2 linked regions of the Lepisosteus oculatus genome follow. The protein of the gene in region 2 interacts with the protein of the main gene of each other region in a pairwise test. Links are inferred from orthologs where the notes say so. Each region holds a gene or a part of one and is shown on either strand. Other genes may lie near its edges.

Region 1 (7,758 bases), on a different chromosome or scaffold from region 2:
ACAGTTAGACTCATGAAATGAGCCTTTTCCTATCAAGCTGCCCTTCAGTAACACTTACATCTTCAGCTTTCCCCCCACCAGCAGATACAGGCAGCAGATAAGCTTCAATATGAAGTTCAATACAATCTAAAAACTGAATGCAACATCTATAATAAGTACTTTCCGCATGGTATTGTATTCAAATAATTGAAGATAGTTTAGCCTTGGCTTTTCAATACAAAAAAAAAACTTTCCTTCAAGTAGCAGCAGATCAGGACAGAGTGTGAAGCAGCATTTAAGTCCCTTAAATCTCAACTTGAAGGCTGTGGGTTCAAATCTTGGGTCTACCCCTTGAGCAAGGAGCTTGTCTTAAATTGCTTCAGTAAAATGCTCTGCTATATGAATGTGGACAGATTTGGTCTCATCCATTTAAGCTAATTATAATAATTCCACTTTCCCTTTAAACTAATAAAAATGTAATGAAGTTTGATTAAACCGAGAACTGCATTTGATCTTGTGCTACTACAACATGTGGAGGACTTCAACTTGTCTTATATTATATGAATTATTTATAAAAGCATGATTGAAAATTAAGGGCAGATATAAAACCCCTCTCATTTGATATGCAAATTAAAAGCCACCCAAGTATACAATCCACAGTATACTAAAACTGGACATTCATCAACAAACGACCTACACGAAACATGTTCATATCATTTTTATTTCTGATATTAATCACATTTCTACCTGGATATACAACCTTAAATGAATATGAAGATTCAACTTGTTTTGCAATCACAATAAATTATACATGTTTAAAAGGAGAAAATACAAACGTACCCTTTTCACTTTACCAAGATCGGGTAAACTGTAATGAACTTTGTAAAACTAGCTAGATAGAACCAGCTGTACTCAATATGCTTCAGCAGTTCTCCTTTATCATGCAATTAGGGTTCAAAGATTTATTTGCCTGGCACAGAGGCTGTTCAGAAAATTATAGATAAGGAGGGTTTTAAAACCTGATAGAAAATGAAGATTGATTTCAAGGTTGGGAAATCATTTCATTTCGAGTTTCATTATTCCCAGATAATAAACTTAAACCTTTTTTGTAATTCTGACAATTGATCATCTAAATCCATAGATGTACAGTAGTATCCACAGGTAGCCCACACACCCACAAAAATGTTACATCAATAAAGAAATATGGAAATATGCTGTAACACAACCAAACCATCTCAAAAACAATGAACATAATGTTTAAAATTCCTTACAACTCAGATATCCATGCAACAGGTCTGACTGGCAACTCAGCATACTGTATACAATATAGAGGCACAGCTCAGTAAAGCCAGCTTAAGGTATTTAGGGCATATAATGTAGGAGAAACTATCATGCTGTATGTCTAATAACCTGTTTTCAGTGGGACAATGGGCTGTAGGGATATCGCATGAAGCAGACCAATGCAGCTAACCCTTAACAATCTCTTAAAACCGGCATATTCAATAAACGGACTAATAAATATTAAGGAGTGTATATTTGTGTCATCTAACATGTCGAGACAAACAAGGGTGAAAACGGAACGAAAGCAGAATATATCGCAAACAAAAAACTGCGAAATCTCTGTCAGTTGATTTGGAATGGTTGCACATTCAGGATTACACAGCTTTGTTGAATTACACCCACGCATAAGGCATTAGTTCGCTTTCCATTTGAAAATTAGGAAGAAAAAAAAAAGATTTTCTCCCTATCACGCGTCTAGTCAGCAACTGGCTACACTAGCCTACATCCTCCTGTCGCAACTGACCCAGATAGCGCCACCAAAAACTTGCTCTTAAATACCCCAACCCTTACAGAGAGCACACTGCACAGGTATACCCCAGACGAGTCATTTCACACACCAAACTATATATTACTGTATCAGTCGAATGAGCGAATTAACTTGTTAACAGGGGTATTCGTTCTAATCGGAAATGCAATAATGGTAGAAACGATGTCGTCATTTTAAGTGCAAGAATAACACTATATTACAATCAAAATACTTTTTATTTACAGCCTATGAGCCTCCATGGGTCACGAAAATATATCACTTCAAACGAATACAAGTATACTGGTCGCCACACTGGAGTGGACCTAATATCCTGGCTATGATAGTAAACCGGCTTGATATGATACCGAGTGAAGCTCTGAAAGCATCTTTTTCCAGCTCCATGTTAGTTTTCCCCCTTTCAATCTTTAATATATATGACCCATCATTAAGAAATAAGATGTGATAATAAATACTTGCCTTCTTCACTTAAAAACGACAAGCTCACGACCGGCAGGGTCTGCACTGACTGTAGCAAAGTTGCACGGCTGGTAACTGGATCAGCGAGGTCAAACCCGAGAGACAGGACTGCAGATAAACTCTCTGAGCGCCTGCAGCTCTGTCAGCCTCCGCGATGAGGCAACTTACTCGCGTCCCCCAGCTCTTTCCGTGCAGGAAAATGAACCAACACGACTATGTACAGTAGGCAGGGCAGGTGCTGTCAAGCAAGTGCTACTCCAGTGACCCACCGCAATCCCAGAGGAGGAAAAAAACGTTGACCCACCGGTGGTACGCTTACATAACAGACCCCCTATTTAAAATAAAAAAAATTAAGTCGCTAAATAAATCAGCGCGGCGAACAATTCTCATCTGAGAGAATGCAATACATGCAATAACAGACTGGGAAGAGCAGGCAAACTTTAGAGCACCGAATCACTCTTCATTTCATTCAAGCTAACAGAATCTCCAATCCAAAAGCGTGTCACCCATTCCCTAGTGTTACACAACCAGCTAGCGGGCGGTCTAGCACAGTAACACGGATAACTCTTCAGCCGCAAGAGCACATAAGCAAAGACAAACCTTGCGCGTAAAAAAAACGGGGCTCAGCTCGTTGCTCTCGTTGCTCTCCTGTGTTTGGTTTTACGGCAGGTAGCCTCCCGTTTGTGTCCTCAGGAACATTTGCTGCGCTCCAGTTTCTGAGTCTCGCTCGGCTCCACAGCTGCCCCGAAAACCTGGAGTGGCAAACGTGACCTCAATACGGGCTCCGCCCCGGCTCGGCGCCCATTGGCTCCCAGCCCCGGGTTTCCATGGCAAATAGTAGGCGATGAAGTCAGAGGACGCCAATTGGCTCGACGCGCCGCCAATCTATTTATGTAAGGCTGTCATAAGACTCACATGGAAAACCATGTTTGCAGGCAATGTGGGCGATTTCGTAGTAGTGTAAGCCCTGTGCTAACTGAATGAACGCTGCTGCTGGAAGGAGAGGGTTTGGTATTGGATGGTGAAATTTCGTTGATTGTTATCTAAACTATTATACAACTATTTTTTTGTGTGTGTGTTTCGCTGGCATTCCCTTTACTAAACACGTAATAGTCTGGGGGTGAACCTTTCTAAACTGCCCTGTGGTGCAGTTTTTTCCAAGAGGGCACGCATGCAGAATTATGTAAGTGATTACGGCATTTGTCAACTTGCACGTCTGGATGATGTTGCGTAGAGACATTTGTCGGCTGGCACTTACCTTTTTAATGTTATGAAATAGCGTGGTGGAGACACTATGAAATTCATGCATACAGCAGTACAACAGACTTCTGATCAATCAGTGTTTATTTATCAGATGCACAACAACCAATAACCATTTTCTTTCCTTACCAGATAAATGAATTTGTTTGAATAAAGTTTAAGCATGTATAAAAAGAAGGTCTACACAATGCAGTTCCTTCACAAATCGTTGATAATTGTATAATAATTCTATGGATTACTCGTGCAGATACTCCGTTTGTTTTGTTTGTTTTTTGGTTCTGGGATTGTGTGGTTGTTGCAGATACCGCACCTATGGTATGTGTCCATGCGATTTTGGGGTTTGTTTTGTTGTCAGTCCTGGTGACTGTTGTGTAACGCCAGCGACACCTGCTCCGTGGTCTCATGCTGTCCGTGTGGACGCGGTTTCTTCACGAAACCCGGTTCGGGTTCTGAGGTAACAGGAAGGAACGCGTGCACGTGCTGAAATTCAGTGTGTTCCACTGATATAATTCTGCATCGGGGCTTAAATGGCGAAACCATCCCACATTTTTGCTAAATATCTTCTGGGGATGAGGCATTGTCCTGTACTGTATATAAAATATACATTTACATTATTAGATAGAGGTTGTTGCGTCGAGGGACGAAAACCGTTACTATAAGACTTCTATTAATCCCACGTTAAATAGCTTTTTATGATGAAACAGGGCTACTGCCGTATATCATTTTTGGACCAGATCAGTCATGAGTGAAAGCGCTACGCTGTGTTGACAGGGATGCTGTTTTAATTGAATCATTACACAATCACAAAGATCTATGTTTTCCCATTACATAAGGCGACACTGCGGGCCACATTGTGATATGGAGCTACATTTTTATTAAAACACCTGCAAATCAGACGGTATTTTTGAGGCACGGCTTATCTCAGCACTTTTCACGTGGATTGTGCTAGTCTTTCTCTTTTATACGATTCGCTATTCGATAAAAGCGTTAGAACCGCCAAAGCGGCAGAATAAAATGTATTAAGTTCTAAGCAGAAAACAGAAAAGTCGTTTACTACATTTAGAATATTGTCATTTAACTACTGCTAAGAGGAAAACGTCCTCCTATGTGCTTTAGTCTAGAAAGTAGTACAGCAGAGTTAGTAGAGCAGTAGTACCCCTTTTGGGTGGGGCATGTGTAATTTTTATAACATTTTATAAGTGCTTTAGTGTCATGGGGGAGCCAGAACCTATTCTGGCAAAGCCATGGACACAAAGCAGGATACACTCTGGATGGGGAACCAGTCCAATTGCAGGGCACAGGAAGTTACCATATGACTCTGGACTGTGGAAGAAAACCAGGGCACCCAGATGAAACCCACACATACATGGGGAGAACATACAAACTCCATCCACACAGCATCCCAGGACCTGAACCCAGGGCCCCAGCGCTACAAGGCAGGAACGCTAACAGCTGAGCCACCATACTGCCCCATAATGTTATATATCCCTTAAAATTCAGATTCTACACTTCAGTGTACAGTTCTTACATTTCAGTGAAAGTATCCTTCTGTAATGTGCGGTAACATCTTTTATGTATTTTTAAATGATTGTCTTTTGAGGCCCAGTGTGTGGGACAGGAGTGGGTCATGTTCATGTGTTTATTACCACAATGGCAAAAACATTTTTGTTACAGGCTTGCACTCAAGGAGCACCAACATTTCAATTCAAAATACTTTATTCATCCTCACAGGAGCAATTTAAGTGCAAAGTTTTTTAATGCCCTAGTTGTACTGACTATTTTTCTCTACTATAATTATTGTAAAAACTGCAGTTATATAGTGTGGGCCAGTTATGAAAAATAACATCCCTAAAATTTTAAAACAATGTGACAGTTGTTAGATTTGACTTCTTTTTACACTGTGGATGTCCAGACAGTGTCAAAGAAGGATGTAGTGAACATGGGTCTGAGAATCCATCTAGGTTGCAAGCATGTTACACTCACTACTGAAATGTCAGTCCCTCTCACAAGCCTCTTGCTGGATACCTAGGTAACGTGTGGGCGGTTATAATCCACCACCAAATCAGGTATAGAAGTGAGAAATTACTTCACCGATTGAATTGAGAAGACTGGACTTTGGCCAGGGCACCGAGAGAACAACTCTTTCTGACAGTGCTGTCAGGTCTTGACTGGGCAAGCAATCAGGATCACAGGTTAGAGGCACATCCGAAGGAAGGAACCTCTTGCAGTCCAACGGTCCTTGTTTCCATATTTGAGGAACAGATTGGAATTCCCAGCGTAAGGGTAAGAGTGACCCCTAATGGTCCACCCAATAAATATACTTGTGCATCAGCTTGAAATTCCTATGCTGTGAACATTTCACAAGCTCCCTGTCAGAGGACTTTAACCTGCTAATTTATAAGGCACTGAACAGTCTAGCTCCAGATTATCCTAAGGAGATAGTTTATACATGGGTTCATACTTCATGCATGAATGTAGTCCAATTCCCATTCTTAGTCACTACCAAAGCCCAATTTCCTCATAATCAGGCAACAGATCTTTTTGTGTATAACACCATATCCACAACTATTTGTTTTCCTCAAGCCCAGTTACTATTGATTTTGTTTTTTTAGCATCAGGTTTTGAGTGTTTGAGTTTTACTGTGCTCTCTTTCTCAGTTGTTTACTTCTGTTACATGTATTTTATTTTTGCGTTATATTACAGTACATTTGTTTTGTGATATTTGCTTGCACATCAAATTGTATTCAAATTGAAACAACTGCATTCGCTTTAACATGTGGGCACAGTACCAATAAACTCTATAAATGTTTAAATCTACCATGCAACAAGATATAAAGTATGCACTGTAAGAATTGTCACTGTTGCAACAATCAAAATAAAAGTTTTTATCAAAGAAAATTGAACCGTGCATTTTCCAGGAGGAAAATTAAGGAATTGGGAGCGACCTTAAGATGACTTCCAGAATTGGCACATACACTGTATCATTGGTTAACACAAGGAAATGCTGGAGAGACAAATGACGTAAAACTTCCATTTGCTAAAAAAAAATCTTGGCAAGTATTCCACTAGAAAGGAATGTCTCTGGGTACTTGGGCTTACACATAAAAAATGTTTTAAAGTAACAGCAGGATGTCTGGTGGAAAAGTCTTACTCTGACTAAGAATTAAATTATTTTAGTGATACAGCCTGAGACAGTTAATCCTTTAAAACATAATTCATCATAAAGGAGGTTTTGTTCCATGAAACCTTACAGTACAGTAGGTATATTCTTAATACCTGATATACCTGAATTAACATTATAAGCCCAACTTCACCACAGATTGGAAAAGTAAACTAAAACAGCTGTACATTTTGGAAAGTTTCATTCATGCCCTTTTCCGAATTTATGCCTCAGTAGGTTTCAGTCGTATGGAAACATTCGTAAGAATCACTGGAGAATTACCTTGGAAAAATTCAAAGTGAAATCCTTTTGAACCTTTGATGAAGTTGTAAGTGATCTATGCAGGTGCTATTTGGATTACTTCTTTGATATGGACACAGTGGTTAATTCTTACAAAAGATAAATATAGTGAATGTCATTTCCATACGAGCTATGGCAGAAATACCAGTGTACAGTCCAAACATTAATTGCACCATTGAAATTTCAACAGCTGAACAATTTAAATAAACTTTTAAGTATTTTGACATTACACTTTACAAGTTACATTACTAAGACGACATGTGAATATACAGTAAATAAAAAGAGTACTGAAGAAGCATTTTTATAGCACGGAAAAAAATCCATATTCACAAAACTGTTTTTATTACTATCTTCTAAGGTTACATGAATATCTAATAAAGAGCTGAATGTTGTTTGTGTTAAAGAGAGTTGGAACACATAATTGCTAGCTAAAGGAAGCTTTTTAAAATGTCTTGCTAATATTATTTTATTGTAAGTGTTTTTATCACAAGCACCAAATTTGCTTGGACCAGAAATTTAAGAAAAATGCCAGGAACTAGAGATATGTTAGCTCAGGATATAGAGGTTGTGTTGTGAGGATTGTAGATAGAGCTGAGGAGGTACAGTGAACTGTTTAAAAGATGCCTTCCCTAATTTCTACCATGAAATGAATCACTGCTCACTTTTTTCAACACCATCTCTGACTGGTTGGGGAGAAGTGATCTTATCCAAGCCTGTGTGACATCTCTACCTTTTTCAGCAAATACTCCTTCCAGACAGTAAAGATTAGAGGTTG
Region 2 (7,839 bases):
TCAGGACACTAAGTGGTATTCCTAATGCTATGATTAAGTTAAAAGGGTAGAGCTCAAGCAAGAAATACTACAGAACCAGAAACATCTTTCTCTTGTTGCTTCTGTACATAAGAGTATTTGCAAAATGACTTCCCATGCCACAGTCCATATTTTAAGGACTAGGACACCAGCAATACTAACTTGAATACCAATTTATGTTTGAACCATGCAGCCACCATTTTGTATTAATATAGGAAAACTGACAAGTATAAATCAGCTGATGGCAGTAAAGCATGTAGTTTAATAGGTCTAAAAAAATTGCTTCTCCAGATCCGGAGAAACAGGCCCTTCCAGTTTTGACATCAAATAAAGGTTTTTGCAGTTTCTCCAATCAGAGCCAACCATACAAGAAAAGGCAGTGAGATTAAACATTATAGAGGCGAGAAGGGACCGCTGGAGAAGTGGATAGTCTGCTGACCCTGATGGGGATTCAAGTAACCCAATAGAAGGTCCTTAACTTCCAGCTCAGACTAGCTGTAACTTTACCAAATAAACAAAAAAAACTTGGGAGTTGAAAACATTACAGAGCCTCCAGGTCTGATGCCAAAACAAGGACATTCTGAAGATCAAATGGATAGGACTAAGAATAAACACTTCATGTTATTAAACTTCAGTCAATGACAGAAACTCATTTTGATTTGCTATAAGTTGGTTTGCAAAAAAGCCAACTTACACTAAATCAGCAGTATGAAGTTAGTGATACTGCGCTAAACACCAGCATAACCAAGGCAGACTAAGTGTTTGAGCATCTGTTGACTACAACTGATGTAATAGGTTTTAGGTTTCATTCCAAAGCCATGATTAAATCCGTATTAATTAATTCCTTAACATGGTCTCCATGTTAGCAGCTGCACAAAACGTCCATCACAATGTACCAACATAAAAACTGTTGCGAGACAATGAAAGACAGAGAGCCTTTACAGAGGTGGCCTTGTGTGTACACCCAAAAGGAGATATATAAAATACAAAGCTGATTTAAGGAGAAAGTACAATTCATACAAAACAGCTCATCTCAGTAACACCATTTTAAAACACCTTATAGCTACTGTCATAACAATGGACTTCTAATGATGTTCTATGGGAATCTACATTTTCTCGTATCAGACAACCAGTGAGGACTTACCAGTCCATATTTATATCCCTGTATCGAATGCATCTTGAGAAGCCAAACCAGTCTGTGACACTAAAGGAAAATGCCTACCTCAATAGTAACAGATGACATCCATATGGGAAAGGTCACCCCCAATCAACAGGGATCGTCTTACACATCCCTTATACCGTTCGTCTTGCCCACAGGCCTTCTGGCTGTTTCTGGTGTTGTGTTATAATACTGGGGGAAACTTATCCTCACCTTTCCAACTTTACACCAGACAGCCAGAACTGGTAACCCACGAGATTCACATCCAGACCACGCTTAATATGCACTGAGTGCCTAAAAAGCATACAGGCGCTGCAAAGGACCATTGTTGGACACAAACAAACCCACCCGTCGTGACTCCTCTTCCAAACGAGAATCTGGGGGAAAACAGAACCTGCAATTTGCTCTACACGTTTTTTTTCCGCTAAATAAAGCATACCAGCCTCCCAGATCTTACAACTGCACACGTTATATAACGCATACTCTGTTTCGTTTTGATTTACACATCAACATCTATTTTTTTACACCCCCACCTCTTCCACTACGTTACGTGTGGTGGTGAACAGGATTTACTGCTACACAAGCCTCTTCGTGTTACGTTTTAACCGCTCGGAAGCGAATGTCGCCTGAAGAACAATGCACCCTCAAGAGAAAGGTCCTCCTGTTTGATGTTTCTCACTTCAGGTTCGACTGGGAAATTGATCAAAATACCGAAATTCGGATAAAAAAAGGACCATCCTCGGTTCGGAACTCCTTTGTGAACCCAGAACGCCGCACGGTGTATGTGCTCTAGCTACACAATGTAACAGTTAACATCTATGGTTAAGCAGTAACTAACCACTGGTAAAGAAAAGTATGCAGATCACAAAACAGCGTTTGAATTGGGGGGATTTGCGTACAAAAAAAACGAGCAAAAATACGTTTGTTTTGTTCCGGCTTGCGATGGCTGTGGAAACCCGAAGGTTCAAAATGCCAAGAAGCCAAGTGTCAATTTCTGTTTAACATAACAAAGGGATCTTCCAATTAGGTACAAAAACCCGAGATAGCATTGTGTACGGCGCCGTTTCCAACACTAAAAGGTAATATAAATGAGCGGCAGGCACGATTCACTAACCGAAGCCCTTGTCAGAGAAGTTGTTGGAATGAATTTGTTTCGGGTTTATTTTTAAATAGGAGCACTCCCGTCTAGTAACAAGGGGGTTGAGATACAAAGAGCTCGATTAGTTACACATCGCTTCACCTTATTTAGTACAAGGTATCCTAGATTCTGTGAAAAGGAACAGGATACAGCTAAGTTACTTGGACACATTTATACTACGAAGCAGATAATGCAAATACGGCACAGTAACAAGAAGTGCTCGTCACAGTTTAAGGGGAATGTTACCTTCTACTACTACAATTCACTCAAATTGCAGACCGTTTTCATAAATGTCATAACACAAGCACCCGTGTTCTTACACAAATGAGCCCAACTTACCTTCGTCCTGTCCAAAAAATAACTGTAGTTAAATTTCAATCTACAGAATCAATTTAGTCCACTTACCCAGATAAATGTCTCCAAAAGATCCACTTCCAATTTTCCTACCCAGTCTGTATCTGTTTCCAACTCTCAGTTCCATGGCTTTAATTCTTATATAAAAATGTAAACAGGAGTAATTTTCTTAATCAAACCCCCGGAAGGTTCGATTTAAGCCCCTAATAATATCCGAAACCTTCAATATTTCCTCTATATCTGCCCTTTTCACCACTCTCCCCCTTCCTTCCAATTTTTAATAATATTGTTCCTTCTGTCACAATCCAATTTTCACCATTCCTTTTCTACCTCCCCGATTTTCCAAATACACCAATATGGGGCTTATCTGAAAGCTTGAAATGTGTAGATTATGTTCTTGTTGTTTCGGATGGCATCCCTCTTAACGGTGGAGAGGATGGAGACGGATTTTAATGGCTATCTTCTCTAGCTTAAAATACTGACTACCTCTGCTAACCCCCTCCTTCTGTGTGAAACAGTCTGCCATAGTCCTGTGACATCACTTCCCCTAGCAACAGTGGAGAGGGGGAGGGGATTGGGTAGGGTCTGAAACAAAAACAAGTATAACGATGGATTGATTCAACCTTCTTAGTTTCTTTTGTCCAGCTTTCAAAATAGCGTAAAATAATATGCGGCTGTTTTTTTTTCCAAAAGCAATCTCTACAATAATAAGCTTCATAGGTTATTAGTAGATAACATGGACAGGACAAGATGTTCTCAAAAGACATTGGGCTATTCAGTGGGAAAAAGTTAATTCCTCATGACTACAAATATACATTTGTATTTTCAGTTGTATATGAAGCATGCGAAATGGTTTTAATCCTTTCATTGTGACAATAATTTAATTTAAAAAACATCAGTAAATATAAAATAAATACTGAATATGTCTGAAACCATTGCTAAATAGACACATAGAACATATATCCTTCCTGTTACATAGCTATACTTTTCCTTTAGAGCCTTAGTTCTATAAGCAAGAATTCCAGTTGAGTGACTATGATTAAATGTGTTGTAAATAGACAGAAGAGCAATGTGCCCCGTAAAAGACAAAGATAAACACACAGAACAATTGTTTTATATGTAAATTCTTGTAATATTGTACAGTATGTTGCTTCTTCCTGAAACAACAAAACAGTTATCACCTCATGTTTTTGAAACCATAGGCTCTGTGTCTGAAGCTAGAACAATTATTAAAGAAAGATGATACAAACATTTGTATTTATGTTTCTAACAGGGCCAAAAATCGTGCATTTTTAATTCACTGCTTTTCTTCCATCTTGTTCTCAAAGTTGCTCTGTTCCATGAGCACCGTGCACCTATCCTTGTTGTTTACACAGCTTCCAGTATTGTTCCAACTGGTTGCCAAACTTGTTTCTGTGGTAACATGTCTTCTCTTCAGTCTTCCTGTTTACACTTCAAAAAGCGTAAAAAAATTCAACTCATCTGTCCTTTGCCTGAAACAACAGGAAGTGATAAATGCAACCTTTTTTTTTCAAATTGTTTGTATTTTCTTATAGGGCTGGAATGTAATTATTTTAGTTGGACATCATAAAACATAAATGTATTGGTATCAACTAAAGACAGTCAACATTTTTCTCCAAAAGGCGTCCTTACATTACTATAATTGCAGTCAAACAAAATTATACTGCATCAAAAAGGAAGGTTCTGAAATATTTGATCTTAACCTTTTTTGACAGTACAATATGCTTTAGTAACAAACTTCAGTTTCTGTGAAACAGCAAGTCTTATTTTTATAGTCTATGAGTAAATGGATCTGTTCTATGTTTATCACATTTTTCATACAACTGTTTTCAGAAATCACTCAAAAAACTCATCTGCCTTTGACTAAGGGCCCACTGAGTACTGTAGCAGTTTATTGCTGACCTTTCCTTTCTTTCCTCCTTTAGGCCTTCTAAAAAGGCTTGTTCTTTTTTAGAAGTGTTATTGCTTGTTGAACTGTTCTTATTTTATAAAAATATAATTTCTAGGTTTACTGAAGATATCCTTGAGAGCAAGATATTTATTTCCGCTAAGACCATCCTCTATAAACCTTGCTAATCCATAAATCTTCTGAGTTATGGATTGGTACCATTTATTTAAAATGTATTTATTACACAAGTACACAGAATTTAGCTACATTTTGCTAACATAAACAAGAATACAAAAAATCCTAGAAGAAATGTCTTTGACAAGTATAACGTACCAAGGAAGATTACATTTAATAAATTAGTGTTTAATCTTGCTTCAGATACTGGGTTCTAAAGCAATCTTAAATAGTATCTGATTATAATAATGAAAGTCTGAACATACTATATCCCATCACATTTTAAAATCTCTTGATTTATTTAGATTTTTTAAAAATGTAAATAGGTGTGCTTACATCAAAATATAAAGAGCATATACAGTATATGGGGCAACCATTTTTTCTGAAGGCAAGACAAGAAATGATATTTTTTAGAATCCACAGATTTTAGGATATGTCCAAAATTTCATATAAGTTTTCCTCAACTTGTATTTTTGATTTTATAAAAATAATCTCCATAAGTCAAGTAGAAATATTTTATCTATGCATTTTCCAGACCGCCAAGAATATTATAACAGATTAAGGATGTCTTTGGCCTGCTCTTTTGCAGTGTTTTTACATTTTTACCACCCTACGTTTTACATTATTGATTCATTCATCAAATACTTCTGAGCTTCTGAGCTAATATGTTTTGACTAGAAAAATGTAAGGCCATGGATTTTTTTTACAAAGCTATCTGATGAATCCTTTCTGAAGATTTTTTGTGCATAAAAATATTTCAGATTGTTTCACAACTGTGACATCAACTCACTTATTTGGGTTTATTGTTTCTACATTTGACATTTTCCTTTACAAGGATGCACTTTGAAAAAAATGAAACACATCTTTTGAAAAACCAATGATTCAGCGTCTGTTTTCATGGCTTGCCATTTTAGAAAGTGAAAGTGTTTATGGGATTGGTACATCTAACTATAAACTTTGATTTCAAATGATCCCTAAAACATTCTTAAATTCAGAATACTCAGACAGGAGAGCTTATTAATTAGTTAAATATTTCTACAACCAGAAACCTAAAGATTATATCATGTTGGATAGATGGTCTTGTGGAGGTGTGCACTTTGATGGCACAGGGATGCTGCTCTTTATTAATTGGACAAAACAAACCTTGAAAACACTGAAAACATCTCTCTGAAAGAAGCTGTAGACACATTCAAATGAAGTGTCATGAATGATTTGATCCCTAAGTAATTTCAGATGACAGATTGTGCAGCTGTAGGATAATATGTATTTTTGTCTGTAATGCAAATCTGTTTTTCCCCCTGCATTAAGATCAATGTTCTAAAAGTATTTATTTAGTGTCATTTCAAATTATTTTAACCAAAATGGAACATGGTGTAACATGGTGAAAGTGATGAGGAACATTTTGTACAGTTTGTGCTTAACTCATGGTTCACTAAACTGATACCATGATGGTACGTTTCAAAATTCTTGGAAGAACTTAAAGTCTGCCAGTAATGCCAGGTGTTAATTTGAGATAGATATCAGTATCAGTTCTCATTGTGAATACAATCAGTGTCAAATCTCCTGTATACTATAAAATGTGTTTTGCATTCATGTAGAATTAAGAAAAACGTAATATATTGATTTAAAAGGCACAAGGTGTGGATTGCTCCTTTTATCGTGTAGCTGTTATTACATTGAAATTATTATTATAGTTATTAATGTTGTGCAGTTTGCTTGGCATTTTATGGGATTAGAGAACAAGTTCCACTTCCAGACTCTTGTACATGCTTATGTAAAAGGGTTCATTTGGTGTGACTCTGTTACAATCACATAACCCGCTGGAGCTTAAAAGGTGTTGCAATCCTCATGAGCTCATCTCAAGAGCCTGTTTAGGGTGCATTTTTAACTACAGCTCTCAACAGGCACTATACACACTGTTAACTGTATTGTAGCATTCCTGTATTGGTACCCATTCTAAACTGGTTAATATTTTGGGTAAAATAAGTCTCATATTCAGGGTCTTATCATTTTATAGTTTGTCTACTAGGTGTTGTTACAGCAATTGTTTTGGTACAATCGTCAGCAAGCTACTGCTGAGTAAATTGTTACTTTGACCATATTAAAGGTATTACAGTATGTAGAATTTTCATTCTTGGTTGGTTGCAATAATTTTGATTCTTGTATTATAAAGATTATATACATCATATACTGCAGACAACATACTAAAGACATTGTACAGATGACCATACAACACTATAATGGTATTTGTCAAATGAATTAATCAAAGGTGAATTTCAACATTTTCTTTTTTCAAATTACACGTTAGTTTCTCCAACATACAGATATAGATAAAGACAGGTTTGATAACTACAAACTACTATGCTGTTACCAAAGTGTATTTTTCTCATGTTAAGCTACAGCAACAACATCTGGTTTAAACAGCTTTTATGAATATTTTTGTTCACAGGGGAATATGACAGGCTTGGATAATTATAAACAGAGCACATATCCATGTATGTATCTCCTATTCAGTGGAAAAAAAACACCAAATATTGTTTTTTCCCTCAGATAGGTTAGCAGAGATCAAAATCACAGTTTAAAAAGGTGACCTCACATTAAGGTTTTATGGTGCAGACTTACCTGTGAGACTAACTTAAAACTGCTGTTTTGCCCATAACTTAGTACCTGTGTGAAAGACCAAAACATGGTGGCTGATAGAGATAAGGACAATTGTGGATGGGCTACATCAGCCTCGTAATGTTTGTCCTCCATCAAACTGTCTTCTGTCTGGCACACCACTAAACTAAGCAGTCTTCAAGCAAAAACTCAGAGATCATATAAACAAAGACTGCGAAATCTGCTCCTTGCACTTGGATGGCTTCAGATTAAAAAAATAAATTCTGATGATAGCATCTACTGTAAGCAGGCTACACAAATGTAGTTTGGGATGCTTTCAGACATCCTTCAAATAAAGTACAAAATATTTTAATTCCCTGTTGAACAAACAGATGAATATGAAAGGCTAGATTTAAGGAACAAAATCTGCAGGGAGCTCTCAGACCTCATCCTGTGGCCAGAGCCCTTTGCTCAGAACTACATGTGAGA

What was found.
Region 1: the proteins of csnk1db (region 2) and per2 interact in binary tests that used the Homo sapiens proteins (3 or more experiments, as listed by UniProt). The link is inferred for Lepisosteus oculatus from reciprocal best matches to the Homo sapiens genes CSNK1D and PER2.

What each region holds. Positions count from the first base shown.
Region 1 is NC_090708.1:8,122,296-8,130,053, reverse strand, and holds the start of per2 (period circadian protein homolog 2), read right to left. Parts: upstream 3,040-7,758; 5' UTR 2,864-3,039; intron 2,507-2,863; exon of another isoform or gene 2,264-2,506; intron 1-2,263. UniProt on the Homo sapiens protein: Transcriptional repressor which forms a core component of the circadian clock.
Region 2 is NC_090704.1:39,443,070-39,450,908, reverse strand, and holds the start of csnk1db (casein kinase I), read right to left. Parts: upstream 3,203-7,839; 5' UTR 2,797-3,202; coding exon 2,721-2,796; intron 1-2,720. UniProt on the Homo sapiens protein: Essential serine/threonine-protein kinase that regulates diverse cellular growth and survival processes including Wnt signaling, DNA repair and circadian rhythms. It can phosphorylate a large number of proteins.